2 linked regions of the Anolis sagrei genome follow. The protein of the gene in region 2 purifies or fractionates together with the protein of the main gene of each other region. This does not show direct contact. Links are inferred from orthologs where the notes say so. Each region holds a gene or a part of one and is shown on either strand. Other genes may lie near its edges. The genes, in order: REEP4 and RETREG3.

Region 1 (8,926 bases), on a different chromosome or scaffold from region 2:
TGTCTAAGGCCAGCCATATTGCCAAACCGCAATGAGTCGCCGACTTAGGCTGAGATATTAGCGGTATACAAGCGCATAAATAAATAAATAAATAAATAAATAAACCTTTTAGCCAAACTGCTACAGCAGTGTTTCTCAACCTGTGGGTCCCCAGATGTTTTGGCCTTCAACTCCCAGAAATCCTAACAATTGGTAAACTGGCTGGGATTTCTGGGACTTGTAGACCAAAACACCTGGGGACCCACAGGTTGAGAACCACTGTGCTACAGACTGATGTAGAGAGGAAAGCGCTGAAGGCTCTGACAGTTGCAAACTAATGACTAAATCAAACAAAATGTGACTCAAGACTTTGTCCTGGGAAGAGAGAGGCAGGGCCAAAAGACTGGAGCATGATTCCCAAGTACTGCGATGCATTCGAGACCAGGGAAGAAAGGGGATTTTGGGGAATGCGGTTCAGATTCGGGTAAGGAAGACTTACCAAGAAATGAAGGTGTCTGCAACAGTCTCGGTGGCCATAAAGAGGGCAAACACGATCCAGTACATCATCCAGCGCACCTGCCAGGAAACCAGGGAAGTGTTAATGGAATCCTGCCAATGCAACATCTCTCCTTCTTGGCCACAAAGCTAGGATGTTAAGATCATCTGGGGAGGCCCTGTTCTTGGTCCCGCCTGCATCACAAGTATGTCTGGCGGGGACGAGAGACAGGGCCTTCTCAGTGGTGGCCCCTCGGCTGTGGAACGTCCTTCCTACAGATATTAGATTGGCCCCCTCCCTGTTGACATTTCGGAGGAAAGTGAAGACCTGGTTATTCGAGCAGGCATTTGAATAGGCAGTGTAATGAATATAGGAATATGGAACAACGGATGATGAGATTGGATCTTGATTCTACCTATGAGATGTTATAGTTATGTTTTATTGATTGTTTATTATGTCATTGTTTTATTTTTTTACTGTTTTTATGATGTTGAGCATTGAATTTTGCTATTGTTAACCACTTTGAGTCGCCCAAGGGCTGAGAAAAGCAGTATATAAATGAAGTAAATAAATAAATAAGGCCGTTCCCTAAGATACTAGGTCTGAGCTACTCTAACACCCATCTCTTCTAAGGTTTCCAGAGAGGGAAAAAATTAATCACTACATCTCTCCTGACACACAAGCAGAGAGAAATCTCAAAGCACACAGCACATAAGAGAGGTTCTTTAGATTTGTTCTTAAATTGCATTTGTATGTAAGTCGGAACAGGGACATTTTTGAAGTCTAACTCCAGCCAAAGACAGATAGACAGACAGATAAGGTTTGGAGAGCATAGGGAAGGTGTACCATTTCCTTTACTGTCCATGCCCCTGTTCAAAGATTTCCCCTTGCTTTCTGTCCCTGTGAGAATTGGCTTTTCCAAAATGTGGCTTGATGTGGAAATAAGTGTTGGAGGAAGCAACCTCTCAAGCCTCCTCTATGTGAGGTTTGTCTATTTCATTAGTATGTCATTTTGTAACCTTCAAACTACAGGAAAGGAGATTCCACCTGAATGTTAGGAAGAACTTCCTGACTGTGAGAGCTGTTCAGCGGTGGAACTCTCTGCCCCGGAGTGTGGTGAAGGCTCCTTCTTTGGAGGCTTTTAAGCAGAGGCTGGATGGCCATCTGTTGGGGGTGCTTTGAATTTGATTATCCTGCTTCTTAGCAGGGGGTTGGACTGGATGGCCCACGAGGTCTCTTCCAACTTATGATTCTATGGTTCTTGTTTGTAGTCTGCAGTTGCCTCGTCTTTTGTACTGAAGCAGTGGGAGGGGTGCAAGCATGTGATGGTTTAGGATGTTCCGTGTTAAAAGGAATTCAGTTAGAGAAGTCAGATGAGTCTTGAGCCTGTTAGAAGTCAGTTGAGCTTTGAGCCTTGTTAATAGAATGTCTTTTAGTGTGCAGAAGCTAATGTTAGAAGCTACTAAACTGTTGAGGCTTGTTTATATGCTTTAAGATACAAACTCTCCAAATATTTTCGAAGTATTTTAACAAAACAAATGTGCCTCTATCATCTATATAAATAAAAATGTAATGTTCATTTGTGGGATTAACGTAACTCAAAAACCACTGGACGAATTGCCGTCAAATTTGGCCACAAGAAACCTACTAAACCAAGGAGTGGGAACTGATTTTGCAATTTGGGAGTTGTAGTTGCTGGGATTTATCGATGACCTACAATCAAAGAGCATCCCGAACTCTACCAATCATGGAATTGATCCAAACGCGGTACAGAGGACTCCCATGACCAACCAAAAACACTAGAAGGGTTGGTGGGCATTGACCTTGAGTTTGGGAGTTGTAGTTCACCTACATCCAGAGAACACTGTGGGCTCAAACAATGATGGATCTGGAGCAAACTTGGCACGAATATTCTATATACCCAAATATGAACACAGATGGAGTTTGAGAGAAATAGACCTTGACATTTGGGAGTTATAGTTACTGGGATTTATAGTTCACCTACAATCAAAGCATTTTGAACCCCAACGATAGAATTGAGCCAAACTTCCCACACAGAACCCTCATGACCAAGAGAAAATACTGTGTTTTCTGATGGTCTTTGGCGACCCCTCTGACACCCCCTCATGACCCCCCCAGGAAGAGGTAATTTTCAACGGTAAGCAAATAGTATTTTGCCGCCCCCCGCCCCCAACCAATCACTAATATATATTTTCTGTTCGTCGTGGGAGTTCTGTGTGCCACATTTGGTTCAATTCCATCATCGGTGGAGTTCAGAATGCTCTCTGATTGTAGGTGAACTATACATCCCAGTAACTACAACTCGCATATGTCAAGGTCTATTTTCCCCCAAGAGCGCCCCTGGGCAAAATCAACTATACTGTGAATGCTTACTTTGCGTAATGGGTTGAGCCGCCCCTGCCCCCAGGGGTCCCATCCCCCACATTGAGACAAACTGCCTTAGTCTATTCTAAGCTAACTAAACTGTTTCTCACTGAGGACTTGAAACTTGGCCAGTGTGGAGTTGATTTCCAACAATCCCCTTCTTCAACCATAAATGCACAAGTCCATTAGATCAAACCCCATTCAATCAACCTCATCCCTAACTAAGCATTATCCTGTGGTCCCTTCGTCATTGTTGTCATGCAAAAAACTCACGTATTCCCGGATGTTCTTTGTCTTCACGGCCTTGTAGGAGGCGTAGGCCGGGTAGAGCATCCCAAAGATCAGCCTGTAACGGAACGGTGGGGTCAGGAAAGCCGGCCAGCAGCGGTACAGTCCGGCTAGGAGCCAGAGACCGTACTTCTTGGCCTGGCGCACCGCCTTGGCCTTCAGGGCTTCCATGGTGGCTCCAAAGAAAGGAAGCCCCTGCCCCAAATGAGGATCGAAGGAGAGGCGTATTGCAGAGTTAAGACTTCGAAGGAGCCACTCAAAACACCCCTTCTGGGATGCTCCTCTCCCTCCCACACAGGAAGGGCCGGTTTCCCAACTGGGGCAGGACCAGACTAGGCAAACCGGCTCCTCGGCCATACCTCCTCCCTCGCAGGTCTCAAACGAAAGCAACCATTGCCAGACTCTCCCCCAAAATATTATTATTATTATTATTAATAATAATAATAATAATAATTTTATTGATACTCCGCCTTTCTCCCCAATTGGGACTCAAAGTGGCTAATGATCCCACAATTTAGTCACAATGTATTTATTTTTATTTATTTATTTACTGTATTTGTATACCATCTTTCTCAGCCCTCCAGCGACTCAAGGCGGTTTACAGGCAACAAGTAATATACATAATATCAAAATGAACATAAAAACATTAAATACAATATAAAATCAGAAAAGAAATAATAAGCAACAGCAAGGAGACAGGTGTTTTTAAAGTCTCTTCCTCAGTCCCCTTCCTCCTTTTATTTGGTTTGAGGGCGGGGGGAGAAGAAGCAGGATTTCCTCCTTCTCCTCCTGAGGTGGCAGGCAGATGTAGTAAGCAACAGCCAGGAGAAAGGTGTTTTTAAAGTCTCTTCCTCAGTCCCCTTCCTCCTTTTATTTGGTTTGAGGGCGGGGGGAGAAGAAGCAGGATTTCCTCCTTCTCCTCCTGAGGTGGCAGGCAGATGTAGTAAGCAACAGCCAGGAGAAAGGTGTTTTTAAAGTCTCTTCCTCAGTCCCCTTCCTCCTTTTATTTGGTTTGAGGGCGGGGGGAGAAGAAGCAGGATTTCCTCCTTCTCCTCCTGAGGTGGCAGGCAGATGTAGTAAGCAACAGCCAGGAGAAAGGTGTTTTTAAAGTCTCTTCCTCAGTCCCCTTCCTCATCTTAGCTGGCTTGAGGGCGAAGGGGGGGGGAGAGAAGAAGCAGGATTTCCTCCTTCTCCTTCTGAGGTGGCAGGCAGATGTAGTAAGCAACAGCCAGGAGACAGGTGTTTTTAAAGTCTCCTCCTCAGTCCCCTTCCTCCTCTTAGTTGGCTTGAGGATGGGGCGGGGGAGGGGGCCGAGAAGCAGCAGGATTTCTTCCTTCTCCTCCTGAGGTGGCAGGCAGATGTAGTAAGCAACAGAAGGAGACAGGTGTTTTTAAAGTCTCTTCCTCAGTCCCCTTCCTCCTCTTAGCTGGCTTGAGGGTGGGGGGGGGGGAGAAGCAGCAGGATTTCCTCCTTCTCCTCCTGAGGTGGCAGGCAGATGTAGTAAGCAACAGCCAGGAGACAGGTGTTTTTAAACTCTCTTCCTCACTCCCCTTCCTCCTCTTAGTTGGCTTGAGGGCGGGGGGGGGGGGGGAGAGAAGCAGCAAGATTTCCTCCTTCTCCTCCTGAAGTGGCAGGCATGTGTAGTCAAGGCTTTCATGGCCGAAATCACTGGGTTGCTATGAGTTTTCCAGGCTGTATGGTCATGCGGAGGATTTATGTATGTTATATGCTGTTCTAATTTTAGAGTTTTTTAATACTGGTAGCCAGATTTTGTTCATTTTCGTGGTTTCCTCCTTGGAAACCACGAAAATGAAATTGTCCACATGCACAACAACAGAGAGGAAACAAACAAGCACATCTAATCACCTCTCAACAAAAGATTGCTACAGGCACTGCCAGGCCATTAAATGCTAATCAAGGCGATCAGTTGAAACATTCACACCTAGCTCCAGCAGACAAGAGTCCTTTGTCCCACCCTGGTCATTCCACAGATATATAAACCCCTTTTCCTAGTTCCAACAGACCTCACTACCTCTGAGGATGCTTGCCATAGATGCAGGCAAAATGTCAGGAGAAATGCCTCTAGAACATGGCCACATAGCCCAAAAAAACCTACAACAACCCAGTGATTCCGGCCATGAAAGCCTTCGACAATACATTCATCTGCCTAGTTTCCAACAGCCCTCACAACCTCTTTTTTTTTTGGTCTTGTCAGGAGCTACTTGACAAACTGCAAATCGCTTTTGGTGTGAGAGAAGTGGCCGTCTGCAAGGCTGTTGCCCAGGGGACCCCCAGATGTTTTTTTTATGTTTTTACCACCCTTGTGGGAGGCTTCTCTCATGTCCCCGCATGAGGAGCTGGAGCTGACAGAGGGAGCTCATCCTTGCTCTCCCCGGATTGGAACCTGCGACCTGTCAATCTTCAGTCCTGCTGGCGCAGGGGTTTAACCCACTGCGCCACTGGGAGCTCCTGATTCCGGCCATGAAAGACTTCAACAACATAGAGTCTGGATGGCTATCTGTCAGGAGGGTTTGGCTCGAGTTTTCCTGCCTGGCAGAAGGAGGCTGGGCTGGATGGCCTTTGGATAATCCTTTCCAACTCTATGTCCTGCACTTCTATTCTCCCTCCCAGCATTCACTCCCCTCCTTGAATCATAGCATCCTAGAGGTGGGAAGGGGCCACCCAGTCCAGCCCCTTTCAACCGTAAAGTGAGATTATATCCAATCCCTACTGACAGATGGCCACCCAGCCTCTGCTTTAAAACCTCCAGAGAAGGAGACTCAATTATTTATTTATTTATTTATTTACTGCGCTTGTAGACCGCCGTTCTCAGCCCTAGGGCGACTCACGGCGGTGTACAACATATAAAAACAATTTACAATAAAGGCAATATCACAAACAACAATAACAACATCACTATCAATAATACAATTACACTAAATCATTCGCGACGTCTCATCATAGAATCACAATCTAATTAGACTCCTATAGAACCATAATTAGATGAGACTACATGGACCATCCAGTCCCACACCTTCCTGCCATGCAGGAAAAGCACACTCAAAGAATTCCTAACAGATGGCCATCCAGCCTCTATTTAAAAGCCTCCAAGGAAGGAGCTTCCCATCTGCAAACTTGAAAAAAAGCATTCCCGCTAAGGCAGGCAGGGGCCAACTTGGGCCCTCCAGTGTTTTGGACGTCAACTCCCACCATTCCTAACAGCCAGTAGGCTGCTAGGAATGGGGGGAGTTGGAGTCCAAAACACCTGGAGGGCCCAAGCAGGCCCATGTCTGCTCTAAACCTTCATCCAAGTCATTAATAAAGATGTTGAACAGGATTTTTAGCTTTGAATATGTCTTAATGGATGTAAACTGTGAATTTTAAAGCGCTGTTATGTTTAATTCTGGTTTAATGTTTGCATATTTGCATGTTTCAAATTGTGCGTCAGCCGCTTTGAGTCTCCTTCGGGAGAGATAAAGTAGGGTATTAATAATAATAGTAATAATAATAATAATAATAGATACAGAGTGGCTTTGAGTTTCATTAGGGAGAGATAATGCAGGTTAATAATAATAATAGATACATAGCCGCTTTGGGTCTCCTTCGGGAGAGATAAAGCAGGGTATAAATAAACATAATAATAATAATAATAATAATAATAATAATAATAATAATAGATACATAGAGACTTTGAGTCTCCTTAGGGAGAGATAATGCGGGTCAATAATAATAGTAATAATAATAGATACATAGCCACTTTGGGTCTCCTTTGGGAGAGATAAAGCAGGGTATAAATAAACATAATAACAACAACAACAACAATAATAATAATAGATACATAGTGACTTTGAGTCTCATTAGGGAGAGATAATGCAGGACAATAATAATAGTAACAGATACATAGCAGTTTGAGTCTCATTAGGGAAAGATAATGCAGGATAATAATAATAATAATAATAATAATAATAGATACATGGAAGCTTTGAGTCTCATTAGGGAGAGATAATGTGGGTCAATAATAATAGTAATAACAATAGATACATAGCCACTTTGGGTCTCCTTCGGGAGAGATACAGCGGGGTATAAATAATAATAATAATAATAATAGATATATAGCGGCTTTGAGTCTCATTAGGGAGAGATAATGCGGGTTAATAATAATAGTAATAATAATAGATACATAGCCACTTTGGGTCTCCTTTGGGAGAGATAAAGCAGGGTATAAATAAACATAATAACAATAACAACAACAACAACAATAATAATAATAATAGATACATAGTGACTTTGAGTCTCATTAGGGAGAGATAATGCAGGACATTAATAATAGTAACAGATACATAGCAGTTTGAGTCTCATTAGGGAAAGATAATGCAGGATAATAATAATAATAATAATAATAATAATAATAATAGATACATGGAAGCTTTGAGTCTCATTAGGGAGAGATAATGAGGGACAATAATAATAGTAATAATAATAATAATAATAATAATAATAGATACATAGAGACTGAGTCTTATTAGGGAAAGATAATGCAGGACAATAATAATAGTAATAATAATAGATACATAGCCACTTTGGGTCTCCTTTGGGAGAGATAAAGCAGGGTATAAATAAACATAATAAACATAATAATAATAATAGATACATAGTGGCTTTGAGTCTCCTTAGGGAGAGATAATGCGGGTCAATAATAATAGTAATAATAATAATAATAGATACATAGCCACTTTGGGTCTCCTTTGGGAGAGATAAAGCGGGGTATAAATAAACAATAATAATAATAATAATAATAATAATAGATACATAGCAGCTTTGAGTCTCATTATGGAAAAATAATGCAGGACAATAATAATAGTAATAATAATAGATACATAGCCACTTTGAGTCTCATTAGGGAGAGATAAAGCAGGGTATAAATAATAATAATAATACATACATACATACATACATTGCCACTTTGGGTCTCCTTTGGGAGAGATAAAGCGGGGTATAAATAAACATAATAATAATAATAATAATAATAATAATTGGGCCTAGGGCAGATCCCTCTTTATGGCTCCTAAATAGTCACTCCTTTCCCGGAAGTAGAAGGGGAACCATGGGGGAGAAGCCCGGAGGTAGAAGGGACCCCAAAAGGTCATCCAGTCCAGCCCCCTTCTGTGAAGCACCATCTGAGCCACCCCGACAGATGGCCATGCCGTCAAACGTCAGGGATGGAAAGGAAGGGCCCTCGAGGGCATCCGAACAGCCCCCCCCGGACTCACACGACGGCACGGCAGAGAAGCCACGAAACCATGGTCGCCTCCCTCCTTCCTTCCTTCCTTCCTTCCTTCCTTTCCTTTCGGCTCCTTTGCAACCGCCGGACAACAGAGACGCCAAGGTCACTGCGCATGCGCGGAATCCTCGGACACCCTCCTCCGCGTGCGCCCATTGGCTGCTGGCGGCCACGCCCCCGCCTTCGAATGCACCAATGGGGGAAGCCAGTAAACTGCAGGGAGAAAGTTGAAAGTTGACCTTTGAGTGGATAGATAGATAGATAGATAGATAGATAGATAGATAGATAGATAGATAGATAGATAGATAGATAGATAGATAGATAGATAGATAGATAGATAGATAGATAGATAGATAGATAGATAGATAGATAGATAGATAGATAGATAGAGATAGATACAGATAGATACAGATAGATAGATAGATACAGATAGATAGATAGATAGATAAGAAAAATTGATTAGAATAGATAGATTAAATAGATAGATTAGATAGATT
Region 2 (7,843 bases):
TAATCCGTCTGCGCGATCTTCTTGCAATAGTTGAGTAGGTGATTCATCGTTTCGTCTGCTTCCTTACACTTGGAATCTGTCGTCAACTTTTCAGTTCTGACTTTGATTGTATTTGTTCTAATTTCTTGTTCTTGGGTTGCCAGAATCAGGCTCTCCGTCTCCTTTTTCAAAGTTTTATTTGAGCCACATCCATGTTTTTTCCTTATCAATTTTGCTCTCAATTTTTCCCAAGAACTGTCCAGAGGTTGTGAGGTCTGTTGGAATCTAGGAAAATTGGATTTATATATCTGTGAAAAGTCCAGGGTGGGAGAAAGAACTCTTGTCTGATGGAGGTAGGTATGAATGTTTCAATTCACCACCTTGATTAGCATTTGATGGCCTGACAGTTTTTATGCGTGCCTTTTTCCTGCCTGGGGGAATCTTTTGTTAAGAAGTGATTAGGTGTTCCTGATTGTTTCTTGTCTGGAGTTCCCCTGTGTTTGAGTTTTGTTCTTTATTTACTGTTATAATATTTTTAATACTGGTAGCCAGATTTGTTCATTTTCATGGTTTCTTCCTTTCTGCTGAAATTGTCCACATGCATATGGATTTCAATGGCTTCTCTGTGTAGCCTGACATGGTAGTTGTCCATGTCCAGCATTTTTGTGTTCTCAATAAAGTTTTTTAAAATTATTATTATTCCCAGGATTCCATAGCATTGAGCCATGGCAGTTAAAGTGGCACCAAGCTGCATTAATTCCACAGTGTAAATGCACCCCAGATCTCAAAACTTTTAAAATGAAGAAGACAGAATTACTCGATTATTTTCACAAAAGGACAAGTGATACAGCTTTTAAGAAATCATCACTTAAGAGCAAACCCAAACAGGGAAGTAAATAAAGTGCACAACTGAATGAGAAGAATGAGTGTGCTCACAAGCCACAGGCATTGAGTATTCTGCATCCTCAGAAGAAAACTGCCCAGAGAAAACTATCTTACCTGATAGAAAAACACATCTTTGCGATCAGTACCCTCTGTGGCAAATTCCTCCACAATGCCCTCAGGACTGATGCCATGCTCTGCACAAAGCTGCTTCCAGAATTCAAACCCAACTGCAAGAGGGAAAGGGAGAAGACAATTTGATGTAATGCAAAATGAGAGAAAGAACTATGAAAAAAAATCACATAAATACTAACCATCTAATAATGTAAAGGAAAACTGTAGAATTTTCTTCGTGGATAACAATAACAATAATAAATAATTTAATAAAAGATTTAATGTGAAACAATCGGTGATGAAAAGTTACGATCTATTTTCACCGGAGAACTGGAAATGAATATAGGAAGACCAGGAGACAAAGGCCCCTTCCACACAGCGGAATAAAATCTGCTTTGAACTGTGTTATCTGAGGCCCCTTCCACACAGCCATATAACCCAGAATATCAAGGCAGATAATCCACAGTATCTGCTTTGAACTGCATTATCTGAGTCCACACTGCCATATATTTATGTATTTATTTGCGACAGTTATATGCTGCCCTTCTCACACCGATCAACTTGTATGCAGAACACATCATGCGATGTGCAGAGCTTGATGAATGCAAGGCTGGGGTGAAAATTGCTGGAAGAAACATTAACAACCTCAGATATGCAGATGACACCTCTTTGATGGCCAAAAGCGAGGAGGAGCTGAGGAGCCTTCTAATCAAGGTGAAAGAAGAAAGCGCAAAAGTTGGGTTGCAGCAAAACATCAAAAAACCAAGATTATGGCAACAAGAATGATTGACAACTGGGAAATAGAGGGAGAAACTGTGGAGACTTTGTATTTCTAGGTGCAAAGATTACTGCAGATGCAGACTGCAGTCAGGAAATCAGGAGACGCTTACTTCTTGGGAGGAGAGCAATGGCCAATCTCGATAAAATGGTGAAGAGTAGAGACATCACACTTGCAACCAAGATCCGCATAGTTAAAGCAATGGTATTCCCCGTAGTCACTTATGGATGTGAGAACTGAACCATAAGGAAGGCTGAGCAAAGAAAGATGCTTTTGAACTGTGGTGTTGGAGGAAAGATCAAAGAGTGCCTTGGACCGCCAGAAGATCCAAACAGTCCATACTTCAGAAAATAAAGCCTGACTGCTCATTGGAGGGAAGGATAGTCGAGACCAAGATGAAGTACTTTGGCCACATCATGAGAAGAAAGGAAAGTTTAGAGAGTAATAATAATAATAATAATAATAATAATAATAATAAATTATTATTAAGCTTGTAATTGAATTTCTTTTTTTCTTCCATTTTTTTTGCTATTAACAATTTAGCTGCTGTTATCAAATTAGAGAGCAATTCTTTCTCCTCTTGTAAGGGAATTATATTATCATGTATAAGTAATAATGCTAATTTTGGTGTAATCCCAATCCCTATTTTTATTATTGCTCTTATTTCTTTGAATATGCTTTATAAGCATTATTATTAATGCTTATAAAGTATATTGAATATGCTTAATAAGCATTATTATTAAGCATATTATTAGCATTATTATTAAGCATATTATTGAATACGCTTAATAAGCATTATGATTAAGCTTAGAGAATACAATGATGCTGGGGAAAATAGAAGGAAAAAGGAAGAGGGGCCAACCAAGGGCAAGATGGATGGATGGCATCCTTAAGTGACTGGATTGATCTTGAAGGAACTGGGGGTGGTGACGGCCGACAGGGAGCTCTGGTGTGGGCTGGTCCATGAGGTCATGAAGTGTCGGAAACGACTGAACGAATGAACAACTCACTCCGGAAGGGACTCAGAGCGGTTTACAAGATATATATATACATACAATATATATTCCTAGTATAGCACAGTTTCAGTATTATATATTACTATATTGTACTATGCCATTGTACTGTAATATTATTAGTAATATTACATATAACATAAAATATATAATTATATATAATTATATAGATGTTCAACATCTTTATTAATGACTTAGATGAAGGGTTAGAAGGCAGGATCATCAAGTTTGCAGACGACACCAAATTGGGAGGGATAGCCAATACTCCAGAGGACAGGAGCAGGATTCAAAACGATCTTGACAGATTACAGAGATGGGCCAAAACTAACAAAATGAAGTTCAACAGTGACAAATGCAAGATACTCCACTTAGGCAGAAAAAACGAAATGCAAAGATACAAAATGGGGGACGATGCCTGGCTTGAAAGAAGTTCGTGTGAAAAAGATCTTGTGAGTCCTCGTGGACAACAAGTTAAACATGAGCCAACAATGTGATGTGGCGGCAAAAAAGGCCAATGGGATTTTGGCCTGCATCAATAGGAATAATAATAATAACAACAACAACAACAATCCTTTATTTATATCCCACCACCATCTCCCCAAGTGGAACTCTCTGCCCCCGAGTGTGGTGGAGGCTCCTTCTTTGGAAGTTTTTAAACAGAGGCTGGATGGCCATCTGCCAGGGGTGCTTTGAATGCAATATTCCTGTTTCTTGGCAGAATGGGGTTGGACTGGATGGCCCATGAGGTCTCTTCCAACTCTTTGATTCTATGATTATTATGATATTGTATTACATTATAATATTATAAACATATTTGTTGTTCATTCGTTCAGTCGTCCCCGACTCTTCGTGTTTTATATATATATATATATATATATATATAATTATTATTATTAGCAAAACAGGAAACAAGATGGAACTGTCTTCCTGGGGCCCCCTCTTTTTATATATATGTGTGTGTATGTGTGTGTGTATATATTCCAGCTCAAAGAGGAAAACGTGGGGATGTATACAGCTGTGTGGAAGGGGCTTTAGGTTGTCTGGCAGTGTGGACTCATATAATCCAGAAAACCTGGGATCCGGTCCTGGGATATGGGGCCTGTCTGGAAAGGCCCTAAGACCCTTTGCCCAAAGCCTAGGCCCAGCCCCATTCGTTTCCACTGAGGAAGAAAGACCCACAGGCCCCTCTGATTGCCCTCACCGCCCTCTTTGGAGCCTTACTTTGGTTGCCACACTGGCCCAGCTGCAGCGTGATGATCTCCCTCGGCATGGCGGCTCCTTCTCCGCCCGCTTCCCGCCTAGAAATAAAACGCCGCCGTTAGCCGCGCGCTTTCTGTGTTTTCTCCCTCTTGCTAGCCGCTCTCTCTCCCTGGCAACGCGCATGCGCGGCAGAAAACATTTCCCCCTCAATTCATTGGATGAAAGACGCGAGCGCAAGTCTCCTGCCGTACGCCAAGATGGCGCGCAAGCAACATAGTAGAGGGGGCGGCCATGACAGTGTTGTGCGCACGCGCGCACCGGCTTCTTGTGTTGAGACAGAGCCTGCCCCCCCTCCTCTCTCTCTCGGCCGTTGGTGACGGGGAAACGAAATGTTCCTGCCGCCAGTTCCACCGGTCTCCCGGTGACGCTGGGCTTTTTGTGAGGGGAAGAAGAAGAATGGAAGCGGCGGGGGAAGAAGGGAGCAGCAATGGCGGCGGTAGTGGTTCCCTCAGAGGCGTCCAGGCCCCGGCGGCGGAGCAGCGGGAGCAACGAGTGCGCGCCCTGAGCTCCTCTCTGAGGGGCCGCCTCGGGCCTTACGAGCCGGCGTTGAGCAGCCTGCAGGCCACGCTCGTGTGGGAAAGGCCGGCCAGGAGCGCCTTGGCATGGGCAGGAGCCCACGCGGCCTTCGGGTGAGAGGCCTGGGCGAGGCGGGGGCGCTGTCTAGGCCAGGCATGGGCAAACTTCGGCCCTCCAGGTGTTTTGGACTTCAACTCCCACAATTCCTAACAGCCGATAGGCTGTTAGGAATTGTGGGAGTTGAAGTCCAAAACACCTGGAGGGCCGAGGTTTGCCCATGCCTGGTGTAGGGTCTCCACCTGCTATCCCTTCCTTTTATATTGTCCTCTGAGGTGTTCAGGTGGAGCATCCCTTGTCTGAAATCCTCCCAAGTGGGTGTCTTGTTGACAGCTTTGCTTTTTGGGTAGTCTCAACAGACACAAATGTTTTGTTTCATCCCTAATAATATAATTTCTATGAAACTAGCTGTCCCCTGCCACGCGTTGCTGTGGCCCAGTCTGTTGATCTGGAAAACAAAGAAATTAGAAAGTGTTGGTTTCTAATATATGTAATTCCTTTATGCTTGTGGCTAAACAGTATTTCTTGCTGCTTCTATGTCAGTGTTGATGTGGAGGTTGTCTGGTTTGCCTACTCTGGAACATGCAACATATCATTGTCCTTCTTTAGGGGGTCCTTTTCAAATCTATGATACTATGTCTTTGTGTGTGTGAATCATATCTATCTATCCATCCATCCATCTATCTATCTCTATGGCAGGATGGCTCTTTGTCAGGAGGACTTTGATTACGTTTTCTTGCCCTGATGAAGGGAGTTGGATTGGATGGCCTTAAGTATTTTCTGTTGGTCATGGGGGTTCTGTGTGAAAAGTTTGCCCCAGACTCAAGGTCAATGCCCACCAAACCCTTCCAATATTTTCTGTTGGTCATGGGAGTTCTGTGTGCCAAGTTTGGTTCAATTCCATTGTTGATGGAGTTCAGAGTTTGATTGTAGGTGAACTATAAATCCCAGCAACTACAACTCCCAAATGACAAAATCATAATTTTTTGAGTGATGGTCACTCCTTGTGTTGTGAAACGTTTTGTTGACAAATTTGGTGTGATTTCATTCATTGGTTCTTTTGTTTTTAAGGTACTAATTATGCACAGAGCATTTATATATATAGATAGATTACTTTAAGGCTATGTGCGTAAAAAGTGTCTAATATGAACCATAAATGTATCTTGGATTTTGACTCGGGAAACCCATTTCCAAGATATTTCTTTATGTGCATTTAGGTAAATGCAGGTTATGAACAATATGGGTTCTGTGGCTTTGTTCCTAAGTTATTTTTATTAATAATTATAATAAGTTGTTTATTTGACTAGTCATATGACCATTACAAAATTGTTGTTCATTCGTTCAGTCGTTTCCGACTCTTCATGACCTCATGGACCAGCCCACGCCAGAGCTCCCTGTCGATCGTCACCACCCCCAGCTCCTTCAAGGTCAATCCAGTCACTTCAAGGATGCCATCCATCCATCTTGCCCTTGGTCAGTCCCTCTTCCTTTTTCCTTCCATTTTCCCCAGCATCATTGTCTTCTCTAAGCTTTCCTTTCTTCTCATATTTCATCTTGGCCTGTCTTCTCATAATATGGCCAAAGTACTTCATCTTGGCCTCTAGTATCCTTCCCTCCAATGAGCAGTCAGGCTTTATTTCCTGAAGTATGGACTGGTTGGATCTTCTCACAGTCCAAGGCACTCTCAGAACCTTCCTCCAGCACCACAGTCCAAAAGCATCTATCTTCCTTCACTCAGCCTTCCCTATGGTCCAGCTCTCACATCCGTAGGTGACTACGGGGAATAGCATTGCTTTGATTATGTGGATCTTTGTTGCCAGTGTGATGTCTCTACTCTTCACTATTTTATCAAGATTGGTCATTGCTTTCCTCCCAAGAAGTAAGCGTCTCCTGATTTCCTGACTGCAGTCTGCGTCTGCAGTAATCTTTGCACTTAAAAATACGAAGTCTGTCACTGCCTCCACGTTTTCTCCCTCTATTTCCCAGTTGTCAATCATTCTTGTTGACATAATCTTTGTTTTTTTATGTTTAACTGCAACCCAGCTTTTGTGCTTTCTTCTTTCACCTTGATTAGAAGGCTCCTCAGCTCCTCCTCGCTTTCAGCCATCAAAGTTCCTAAGTTACTTTTGTAATAATTATAATAATAATTTGTTTATTTGACTAGTCATATGACCATTTCAAAATACAACACGAATAAAATACAAGGCAAAAAGGAAAAGACAGCAGCTGACCTTCTATTTACAGTCAGAATCTTATTTTCCTGGTTCTTCTTTCAGGAAATCTGCTCTTTTCTTGATAGCTTTCAGAATAAAAAGGCACATTCTGATTATGGTAGATCTTTCTTGTCCTTGCAATAAGAATGTCAGAAAATCATTTCTGCTCGGGGACCTGTAGTTGGATAATATTGGATGTAAATATGTGTTTTGCAGTTCAGCATATGCTGGACAGTCAGTTAAGAAATCTTCAATATCTTCCACTGTTTTTTCTCCCCATACGCAGAATCTCTTTCAAGTTACTTTTGTATGTAACCCAACTCTAAATCAGTGCTTGTCGTCAGTAAGGGACTGGATGAGGGCAAGCAAATTGAAACTAAATCCAGACAAGACAGAGATACTCCTGGTCAGTCGGAAAGCATACCAGGGAATAGGGATCCAGCCTTTGCTGGATCCCTATTGCACACTGTGCTGGATCCCTATTGCAACAAGATATGGATCTATAGTTTGGGGGTCCTCCTCGACTTGGCACTGAACCTGGAGGCCCAGGTGTCCGTTGTAATTAGGAGGGCCTTTGCACAATTAAACTTGTGCACCAACTGTGCCCATTCCTTGAGAAGCCAGATCTGGCCATGGTGGTCCATGCCTTAGTTACATCCCATCTAGATTTCTGTAACATGCTCTGCATAGGGCTACCTCCGAAGAGCGCTTGGAAACTTCAGCTGGTCCAAAGAGCTGCAGCCAGGTTGTTCAATGGTTACAGGGAACAGACACTCCCCTGTTGAAGCAGCTCCACTGGCTGCCAGTCTGTTTCCAGGCACAATTCAAAGTGCTGGTTATGACCTTTAAAGCCCTAGACCAGTAGTTCTCAGTATGTGGATCCCAGATGTTTTGGCCTTCGACTCCCAGAAATCCCAACAGCTGGTAATCTGGCTGGGATTTCTGGGAGTTGTTGGCCAAAACACCTGGGGACCCACAAGTTGAGAACAATTGCTCTATATGGTTCAGATCCAGGCTGTTTGGCCGACCAC

The links.
Region 1: the proteins of RETREG3 (region 2) and REEP4 purify together in Homo sapiens (affinity purification with mass spectrometry; 3 studies listed by BioGRID and IntAct, with this or other methods). This does not show direct contact. The link is inferred for Anolis sagrei from reciprocal best matches to the Homo sapiens genes RETREG3 and REEP4.

The regions. Positions count from the first base shown.
Region 1 is NC_090027.1:23,058,281-23,067,206, reverse strand, and holds the start of REEP4 (receptor expression-enhancing protein 4), read right to left. Parts: upstream 3,558-8,926; 5' UTR 3,506-3,557; coding exon 3,134-3,505; intron 556-3,133; coding exon 479-555; intron 1-478. UniProt on the Homo sapiens protein: Microtubule-binding protein required to ensure proper cell division and nuclear envelope reassembly by sequestering the endoplasmic reticulum away from chromosomes during mitosis.
Region 2 is NC_090026.1:51,026,757-51,034,599, forward strand, and holds the start of RETREG3 (reticulophagy regulator 3), read left to right. Parts: upstream 1-4,242; 5' UTR 4,243-4,257; coding exon 4,258-4,655; intron 4,656-7,843. Other genes in the region: TUBG1 (tubulin gamma-1 chain), read right to left, coding at 979-1,091, 3,988-4,036. UniProt on the Homo sapiens protein: Endoplasmic reticulum (ER)-anchored autophagy regulator which exists in an inactive state under basal conditions but is activated following cellular stress.